3 linked regions of the Oryzias latipes genome follow. The protein of the gene in region 2 purifies or fractionates together with the protein of the main gene of each other region. This does not show direct contact. Links are inferred from orthologs where the notes say so. Each region holds a gene or a part of one and is shown on either strand. Other genes may lie near its edges. The genes, in order: tgfbrap1, vps33a and vps41.

The links.
Region 1: the proteins of vps33a (region 2) and tgfbrap1 purify together in Homo sapiens (co-immunoprecipitation; 5 studies listed by BioGRID and IntAct, with this or other methods). This does not show direct contact. The link is inferred for Oryzias latipes from reciprocal best matches to the Homo sapiens genes VPS33A and TGFBRAP1.
Region 3: the proteins of vps33a (region 2) and vps41 purify together in Homo sapiens (affinity purification with mass spectrometry; 5 studies listed by BioGRID and IntAct, counting the BioPlex papers as one, with this or other methods). This does not show direct contact. The link is inferred for Oryzias latipes from reciprocal best matches to the Homo sapiens genes VPS33A and VPS41.

The regions. Positions count from the first base shown.
Region 1 is NC_019861.2:16,415,003-16,418,659, reverse strand, and holds part of tgfbrap1 (transforming growth factor-beta receptor-associated protein 1), read left to right. Parts: intron 1-1,555; coding exon 1,556-1,710; intron 1,711-2,162; coding exon 2,163-2,245; intron 2,246-3,496; coding exon 3,497-3,657. UniProt on the Homo sapiens protein: Plays a role in the TGF-beta/activin signaling pathway. It associates with inactive heteromeric TGF-beta and activin receptor complexes, mainly through the type II receptor, and is released upon activation of signaling.
Region 2 is NC_019867.2:18,267,892-18,270,895, forward strand, and holds the end of vps33a (vacuolar protein sorting-associated protein 33A), read left to right. Parts: intron 1-398; coding exon 399-592; 3' UTR 593-1,258; intron 1,259-1,832; 3' UTR 1,833-2,395; downstream 2,396-3,004.
Region 3 is NC_019878.2:20,691,227-20,694,883, forward strand, and holds part of vps41 (vacuolar protein sorting-associated protein 41 homolog), read right to left. Parts: intron 1,221-3,657; coding exon 1,113-1,220; intron 1-1,112. UniProt on the Homo sapiens protein: Plays a role in vesicle-mediated protein trafficking to lysosomal compartments including the endocytic membrane transport and autophagic pathways. Acts as a component of the HOPS endosomal tethering complex.

The sequences.
Region 1 (3,657 bases), on a different chromosome or scaffold from region 2:
AGAAGAATCAGGAATTACTGTACTCTTTTGTGAATCTTTCTGCCTTTCAATGAGAATAAAGATTTTAGTAAAAGATGTTTTTTTTTCTTTTTGTATAAGTTTTAGCAGGATCAGTGTTAGGTGTTAATGGCAGGAGGGAGGACATTAGTCAAGTTTTTTTCTTTAATAATTCGGAGCAGCTTATTTCCGTGCTGAGTTTGTGAGTCGTATATAACAAGAGTCGACCTTCTGTGGTAGCAGACCCATTGCACGCTACATGTCTCCGACTGACTGGTGATTGTTTTGAAAATAAAGCAGACATGTCTAATCACTACGCTGCAGCAGAACGATCCTCTTCAGCAAATGAAATTCCTGACGTTGTGACTTCAGTGTTACTCATTTGGGTTATTCTAATAGTTTATTTCTAAGAGAAACCAGAAATTTTGCTGTCTTAAATAATTTTAAGGCTCAAATGTGGCTCTGAAAGCTCTGTATGAAATCAGCATTTAGTTGAAAATATTATCAGAACAACTGGAATTTTGGTTAAAAGTTTTTTTCAGGGAAACCTGAAAATACGAATCAATAAACACTGGCCTCTTGAAATGAGGTGTTTAAATATGACAGTAAGTATGACCGCTCTCAGCTTCTTTAGCCTGAAGTTTTGCTTTTGTTTGCATGGAAGTGAATGAAGAGGCTGGAATTGATTTTAACTGCAGTGTCAATCAGGAGTAAGGGAGGTATTGGTTTTACTTGTTTATCTTCCTATTTAGTAGAATACAGTTTAAAAAGTTTTACACTTTAAATGTAATCTTTTAAAATTTTTAATAACAACACATCAACAATTTTTTCCTCATTAAATCCCTCTCTGATCATCTTTTGATTTCTAAAGCATTCCCAGTGGTCTTATGATTTAATTATGATTATGCAGTTTTTAGCCAAAATATAAAGAACCTGTGTCGTTTTCTAAGACATAGTTTCTGCTGAGCGGCAGTAATTCCTTAGAAAGTCACCCCAAGTTTTGGGTGGGAATGATGGCACTTAGTAAGCCCGCCCTAACTTCCCGTCACCCATCTAACACCCATCCAACACGCTCTCCTGTTAGTTTACAGCCGCTCACAACCCCAATCTAACATCACCGGTGCAACAATATCAGAGTTTTGAGCCGGGTTCCAGCTCAGATGAGGAAAAGAAAGACATGCATGGATCTGTTTGTCTACAAGTGGACGCATCAGAATTGAACGGAGCACAGTTTGTGGCGTGCTGACTGTAGCTTTTACGCAACAGCTACACGCTTTTTCAAACGACATTTTTTTGTCTGCTCCTGATTCACATAAATTTAAATAGACAAATACAGATAAATACAACTTTATGCCTAATTTTCCTTATATATGTCTTCCATCATTAGAAAAATGCTTGTTAAAAATATGTTAAAAATATCCAAAACATAATTTTCATCAGCGTGTGTCTTTAAATGCTATCGGGATAGACGTCTACATTTTTTTTGTTTGTTAAGAATGCTTGTCATTCAGAAGATTGCTTTAGCAGGAGGAACTTATTGGGGGCTCTGTGTTTTTAGGGAAGGTCATTCTGGCCTCCACAAAGGCGGTGTACGTCCTGGTGCCTCTGCCTTTGGAGAGACAGATCCAGGATCTGCTGGCCAGTCACCGGGTGGAGGAGGCGCTCATGCTCATGGAGGGCGCACAGAGAAACATTCCCAAAGACAAATTTCAGGTAAACAGCAGCCCATCAATGTTTTTACATGGACTAAAGCAGTGTTTTGTTTTGTTTTTAAACTTTTTTTTGATTTAAGGTACATTCTTTTTTTTTTTTTATTTGATTAAAAATCACAAGGCACACCACTGAATGAAAATGTAAGAAAAAAGAATTTATGTTGTTTGTATGAACAATATATAGAAATTTTTGAACTGTCATCAAATAAATGAAAAAAAGTATTTAAGAGCTTTTATATTCCTAACTACTCAGTGTGAAACCTGGGCGTGTTTGAATGAACACAAAGCTGCTTTCCTGGATATGGTCAATGTTTTTTAGACCAATAGGGTGAACTCGAATCATTTACTACGCCAGTTGAAAAACACTGGACTAAAGCGAGATGAAAAAATGCTATTGGAGGTTTTGAGATCTTTTAAATATTTTAGGAACTAATGTTTATTTTCTTTCTTTAGGTTTTGCACAGAAGAATCCTCCAGCGAGCGGGGTTCATACAGTTCGGCAAGCTTCAGTTTCAGGAAGCCAAAGACCATTTTAGGTTTGTTCCATTCACTTAAATCTGTTGTTTTGTGACTAAACTGAGAGTTTTTGTCTTTGACACCAAGAGTCGAATTTTTTTCACTGTGAGAGTCAAAGAGCCACACCACACACAGACCTGCCAAGACGTACACACACAAACACACAATTAAAGCCGTATTATTTTCCATAAACACTCCTCTCCTTACAATACAACAGCAAGCATTGCACTTGTGTTTATTTCAAGGAAAGTGTCCACCCTCAATACACACATCAAATGGAGCTTAGCCAGAGTTAAGAGAGTCAACCCTGGAGGTCAGATACCCCCTCCACAGACACATCTCATACACACACACACACACTATCTCTCTATCTCACTCTTTTCTCTGCCTCTCTCTGACACACACAGCTACTCAGTGACGGGCAGTGAGGTTGATGGCTGGTGAGGCACCGACTCCTCTGAAGTCAGATTTACGATGATAAACATCTGGACAGAGCATCCTTCTGGTGTCTGAGTAATACATATTCACAATAAACACATTAATACAATGTGCCGGGAGCAGCATTAAAACACACAAACAGCCAAATTACTTTTATTATTATTTTTTTATTTATACCCTCTGATGGATTTGAGTTTGGTTTAAGAGGGAAAAAACTATGAAATGAGGCACAGTAAATAGAAAATATGATGAGACGCAAAGAGCCGCATGCTTATTGGCCGAGAGCCGCGTGTTTGCCCCCCCTGGTCTATGTTTTACCTTAATGATGTCAGTGGTTTATAATGTAGAAAAGAATTTTATGTCATATTAGAATAAGGAACTATTGTTTATCTAACTTTTTCTGGAACACATGAAGCTGTAATTGGAGAATAAAGAATACTGTTGAGTCAATAAAGCTTCGTTTTGAACTGGAACATTTTGGGATATGGTCTTCACAGCCTGATATTCTTCATTTATAGTCTTTATTATATAGAAATCACGTGTCTGGTATTTATTTACCCAGGTTCCTTTGGTTTTTTTTACTACTATAACTGCATTCAAAACCATGTAAAAAGAAATTCAGCTGTCAAGTGAACCTGTGTTGAGAACCTTAGTAGTACATATTTGTTTTGAAGAGTTTTTTTCATGTTTTGATTGAAGGCTTGTATTTGCTTTTTTCTCATTTTCTCTCTCGACTGTGTGGTGTTTGATGTCGTCCGACGTGGTCAAAGCTCAGACTCTCCTTGCCTTCAGGTTTCTGATCTTTCATCAACCTGCAATGTTTTTGTCTTTAGGAAGGGTGAACTGGATGTGCGGGAGCTGATCTCTCTCTACCCGTTGCTGCTACCCGCTTCTTCCTCCTTCACCCGCTTTCACCCTCCTCTCCACGAGTTCGCCGACCTCAACCATCTTGCACAGGGCGACCAGGAGAAAGTTCTACAGTGCAAGAGGTTCC
Region 2 (3,004 bases):
TGAGGGCTGACCGTCCATCAGCGCTGGGGCTGGTGTCTGTGGGTGTATGTGCGTTTGGCCAAAGTTCTGAAGACAAAAATACGTATTTGGTCATGAATTTGTTTTGGCAATAACACCCTTCCAAGTGAGAAATCATTAAACACTTCATTAGAAGTAAACAAACGGATGTGCTAGTTGTCTTGTTGCTACAGGCCTGCCATCTATTGGTTTATAAAGGTGATAATTGGCAATTTTCAGGCAAGGCGATGCAGCTATTTTAGAGTTTCAACAGGGAGTCTTTGGCAATTTTCCTATTTTTACCAGGAATTGGAAAACCTGAATGATATTTGGGATTTGTGGGATTATTTTCTATTTTTTATATCTTTACTATTTCTGTTTAACCCCCCACCCACCCACAGGTCAGCAGGGGGAAAACCGAACAACGCTGGTCTTCTTCCTCGGTGGAGTGACATACGCAGAAATATCTGCTCTCCGATTCCTCTCTCAAATGGAAGACAGCGGGATGGAGTACATCATCGCAACCACAAAACTCATCAATGGCACAACATGGATTAAGACCCTCATGGAGGGTATTTCTTGGAGTCCAAAATAAAAAAAGCAACTTCCTCCTAGATTTGGTCATGTCATAAGCGTGTTTTGCTTGCTGCTTAGTGGGTCATTTTTGGGGGAAAAGCAGAAACGGCAGTGTATCCATCAGCTGTGGTCCAGCTCACTGAAGAAGCAATTAGCACAGTAACAGGCCTCCTGATCAGCCGATAATAGCCCAGTGCTGCCAGGAGAGCTCAGCCTCCAGCCGCCTGTGATTTGACAGCGCAGGACACTGATTTAATTAGGAAGCCATTTGCTCCATGTTCCGGTGGAGGATAACTGTGCTGTGGGAGGGTGTTTGATCTCTGTGTCAGTCAATAGCTTCTCCATGCCCGCCACTGTATATACAGGAAAACCTGCTGACAGATATTTTTGCTGCTTTCCAGTCAATGTAAATGTCTTCTGTGCTGGTTTCCTAAAATTGTAAAATATTTAGTTGAATTCTTGTTTTGCTTTTAAAATCTGCTTTCTTTGGGAAGATAAACATGCCGAAGATTTAAATTGGGAATAAACGGACAGCAGTTGCCTTGAGATCCATGTGGTCAGTTTTACTTTTGCTCCCTCCTCTGCAAGAAGAACTTGAGACGCTCGATTCTGCACACGCAGATTTGGAGCAGACGGCTGAAGCACAGCAGTCCACCCCCAGCTGTCCCGCTTCAATATCATCAAGGTATGGAAAGTTTGCTTCTTTTAAAAATGGGAAAATATACCTCGACTTTTTTATGACGCCACAGGTCAAATCACCTGTGATGAAAACATTTATTTCAAATAACTAATTAAATTCATCTGAAGATTTGTTCTGAGATAGTCCAAAATAGAGCTTAAATCATTTTTTTGCATTTTACTGAAAATGTTTTAGTTGAACATGAATGTTGTGTTTTTGTTTTCTGCCGAGAAGTCATTTTAAGAAGTGAAAAAAGCTAATCAATACACTTAGAGCAATTTAAATATTAATTATTAATCGGGGTCCTTTTACTGTACACATCCTTTGGCTTCTGAGAGGCTAAAAATTCTTGTTTGGCATTTTTACTCCAAACAAACTGCACGGAATTTACTTGAAAAACATTAATTTTCTAGTTTAGAATGTACTAGTTAGCTTTCTATCTTTCTGAGCCTGATCTTCAACCAAATTTGGGTACAGCTACACTTTTATTCTTTTGATTGTAAGCACGTGCATCCTTCTCTATGCCATCCTTGATACATAAACGAGTTGTTGTTTTTTTTTTGCTATTGCAATATGACAGGTGTGTGTATGAGAGATGGGTCGAGGGGAGAACATGGGACACCTGACTCAGCCTGGTCAGAGGCCGAAGGTGCTGGAGGTGCCAGTGGACGTGGATCCTCTGATCATCCGCTTCCTCCGAACATTCAAAGAAGTCCTCAAATTTGTTCTCTTCAGCTACACAGTACTGTTCGGTGGTTTGCTCCTCGCGAGGTGGACCACTTACTTCATGGTGGGCAAATAAAGTTTTGACCTATGAGGCTCAAGCTGATCAAACAAGGTCTCGTTTTTTTTTTGGGCTTTTGCTGTTCTTGCAAAACAACAGTAGCGTTTATGATGCCTGTTTTCTTCTTTGATTGTGGCAGCCCTAATGCCTTTTATATGTTTTTTTTTAATGAATCTAAAGTAGGCCTTAACAGGAACTTTGAAGAAACTGAAATTGTTGTCAAGCCAGCTTGCATTCCATGTGATTGTCAGCATTTTGTCCATATGTGCAATTCCATATCTGTGCTGAAGCACAGTAAACATGTCTGTATGGTTGTATAATGAGCAGTATATTCCTAGAAAATAAAATGTTTACCTACATTTTTGTCCACAGACACATATTTTAAAGCACACAGTCTCGGTGGATCTTACCCGTCTCGTGAATTTGACCTCCAGGCGAGCAAGAAAAACACCTGGAGGCCAGAAACAAACAGAAGAACACTAAAACTTTAGAGTCATTTGAAAAAGGTGACATCTTTGAGCAACTCGGGTGGATGCAGCCTCATCAAAGCATGCATCCTGTAGTAATAGCATATACAAATACTTTATAGCGTCCCAATACAGTTGAAAGTTAATTTATAGGAGACAACATCAGCAACACTTTTTAAACTGAGATACCATAAAAAGTGTATGTGATTTTCCTGTAGTGACAAGTAGAAGTCATGTGCCACACTGCAAAATTGATTTTGATATGTGTCTTTGTGTGTGTGTGTGTGTGTGTGTGTGTGTGTGTGTGTGTGTGTGTGTGTGTGTACGGTGTATATATAGATAGATAAAAAAAAGATATATAAAAATAAAAAACTTCTCTGAAATAAATGAATAAATATTTTTCCCACTTAACTTCACGTCATCGTTTAGGGGCTCCTTTTTTTCTAAATGCGCCCCTTTTCTGGGGTGTGTGTTTGATTTCCTTCCCTGAAACAATACACA
Region 3 (3,657 bases), on a different chromosome or scaffold from region 2:
TCTGCATGCAACCCAATCACCTCCTTGCCCAGAACAGACTACTGAGCAGCAACTGGTTCCTGGGAGTCGCGCTTCAGCAAAAGCGCGGGTGTGCATTTGAACGTGTGTGTGTGTGTTTGCCTCAGTCCACAGGGACAAAAACATTATAGAAAGTGGGGCTTCTGGCATTAGATTAAGTGTGTGTTCTTCTACCAAGTCCCTGCTCGGCGCCCTCCTCCTAATCCCCCCTCCCTCCCGGAGCAGCATGTGGATGTGCGGCGAGCCCACCATGCTTCAGTGCAGTCTATAATGAAATGCTTATATTTACAGGCACAGCTGAGCATGTCAGACAGAGCCCCTGCAATCTTCCAAATAAAATAACCCAAAAATAAATAAATAAAAGGTTCAACCTTGTGAGGCGGAGCGACTTTTAAAAGGATTTATCAGGATGGAATTGTTCAAATGAAATTCCGATTCAGACACTTAAAATATGAGGCAACATAAGGCAATATGTGCTCCCGGTGATTTAAGGTTGCGGGAGTTTTGTCACGGCGGAGGGGGCTGGTGTGACCACATCTGAATGGCTGAAGGTGCACAACAACGGAGAAAAGAAAAATTAAAAATGTTCTCGGATCGCTCATCTTTCAGCTGAGGCCCGTTCTGAAGGGAAAAAGAAAAGGGGGAGCAGATTTACACAAAACAAATAAATAAATGAAAATCAGCTGCAGTTAATAAAACATCAGGTGAGGAGACGTAACTGGGTATGACTTTCGCTCTACCCAGGCGTGCAAGTGTGCTGCCGGTGCCACGACGATTAAGCATCTCGCAGAGGAGTGTGCCTCTTAAACATATCAACATTCAGCAAATGGGAAAGGAGTGAAAAATATGTAGGAGTGGGAATAAAAAGAGGAAAAGACAATAGTGGCTTTTGATGCACCTCCCTGAGAGGAAAAGCAGAGGAAGGTGAGAAAAGAATGGGCTGCCTTTGCAGATTGAGCAGCAGGGATGAAAACCAACTTTGAAGATGACATCTCTCAAATGCACACATAAACAAAGGGAAATCTTTGGCTGAAATGATTGGACTTGAAACTGAAAAGCCCCGGCGGGCGTGGGGGGGGGATTATCACCTTTACCTTGTCGTGGACGGTCATGCAGCTGGCTGCGTCATTCTTAAGGATGTCTGTCACCCCGTTGGAGAGCCTCTCGTACTTTAACTTGGCCTCCTCCTCACTGTCCTCCTCCTGGTTCGGAGAGGGAAATGGGCTTTCACTCAACACTTTCTTAAAGGTAGTCATTTACACACAGCCACTTCACAGAAGTTACAAAAGACACTTTCAAAGACGTCCGTGCAGTGTGTTGAAATATGCAAAAAGTTCTCTTCCTGTTGGTTTCAAACTGATGTGACATATGAAGTTTTAGACCCCTTTCTCTAAATGCTTATTTCAAATATTACATAAAGACATGACTTTGAATGCTTCAGAAATTAAAAACCCAGTTTGAACTAATATCAATGCAAAAGGCAATTAGAAAAGATTTTAAAAGGTGTTCATCTTTTCTATTTCTACCAAGAAAAACAAGATGGAAACACCGATTCCACAAAAAAAGCATCAGAAGATCCTTTTTCTTCACTTAATAAACCTAAACTGCATACTTTATGAATTTAAGATCCACACCTAAGGAAATATTGTCTTTATTAATATGTCCATAACACGGACTTCTCAGCTCATATAAGCCAACTAAACAACTCCAATTAATCTGATGATGGCAGACAGATATAAAGAAAATTCAGCTCAAAATTGCATTTCTGAGTATTTCTTTATTCAAAATTGTTGTGAATCAGGAGCAGACAAAAAAATGCAGTCTGATAAAGATTGCATCTGCAACATAAAATACACAGGACTCAGCTCCCTGCTCCACAACGGGGAGGGGAAAGGGGGCGGGGTTTGCTATGCGCCAAGGGCCCTAACCCACAACCAAGAGACCAATTTCTAATGAACTCACCCCGCAGAAACTATATCCTGGAAAACGGCGCAGGTTTTAAGATTGTGGCTAAAAAGGAATAATCATCTTCAAAAGATTGCAGAGAAAACTTTTAAAATAAATCAAGAAGGGGATCCGATTGGATCATTAAAGCCTATTTTTAATTATTTCAACTTGTGTCAATGAGGCAAAAAAGAAATAGAATACATTTTAAAAGATGTTTAAATGTTGTTTTTCCACAAATAAAACTGGATGGCATCACTAATTCCACAAAAAAGCATCAGCAGATCCTTTTTTTTTTTGCTAAACAAACTTCTTCTTCCTCTTTCGGCTTCTCCCATCAGGGGTCGCCACAGTGAACAAGTCGCATGGTAAACTTGGCAATGTTTTACACCGGACGCCGTTCCTGACGCAACCTTCTCAAACCGGGCTTGGGACCGGCACAGAGGAAGAGAAGGGAACAGGGAGCAGCCCGGAGTTGAACCCTGGTTTCACGGTTGGAAGGCGCCGCAAACCAGCACGAGCTAAACCGGCTCCCTTTTTGCTAAACAAACTAAAACTGCGAAATTTGTAAAAGTACGATCCAAGCCTGACATATTGAAATAAACAATTTCTATGAAGTGTATCACTTTATAAGCAGCAGGCAGTGAATAAAACCGATATTAGGAGATTAAATAAATTAACAAATAGATTTAAAAAATGTGATGTCAAAGAGCAAAGCAGCACAAATGTATGGACTGGAAGCATTTAATATATTAAAGATACAAATTTTTTTTTTACTTATTTAATATTCCTGTTATTAAAATACTATGCCATAATATTCTCAAGGGGATTTTTGCTACATTTTTTTGTCCTTTTACCTCCTAAAACAACATAAAAAAAGTGGAAAATCTAAAGGTAGAAGGCAAAGATAAGAAGGGAAAACAGACTATGAGAAAGACTACTGGTTAAAAAATGTAAACTTAAAACAATACGATGCTCATACTATGGTACATGCGTGTTACTGACCTTTATGTTCATTTAAAGCTTAAATATACCTTTTTAATTAAAATAACTGGTATTATCTGGTGTTATTTGGATTCATACCTTTATATGCTATTGGCTAAATAAAATGAGTTCTGTCATTGTATCAAGAAAGAGTATTTCTGCATAGAACCAATCTATTTTGAGAAGTGTTTACATGTATATGTGTAGGAGATACCCAAAAAAGGGACAAATTTTCATTACCTTGCATGAAAGGCCTAAAACAACAATTTTTCATCTTTTCTCAATGCCGTTTATCCCCAGTGAGACGCGTGAATTTATTGTTTTCATAAAGCAAACTTAAAGTATTCTACTGTGTTACACTTTCCAGCATGAGTCAACATTTGCAGCCAGTCACAGCCTGAATATTACTCATAATTCGGTTTATAACCAATACTGCACAGTCTGTGGCTGCCCAGAGGGTGCATCAACTCAAAACATTGTCTGCCATTATGTGCTACTGGGTTGGAGGTGGGGGACAATAGCGTGGAAAAAATGTTATTTTCAAAAACAATCCTTTCCCACTCAACAACGCCATATCTAGGCTATTTCCTGTGTATTCTGGTTGTGAGATTTCTGATGCGAGGGCATTTGTCACGGATTTCAAAGGCGTATCAAACAACAAAGGCAAACTTCATCCCCACAGAGAAAATCCCCATTTTAAAACTTTTCCCA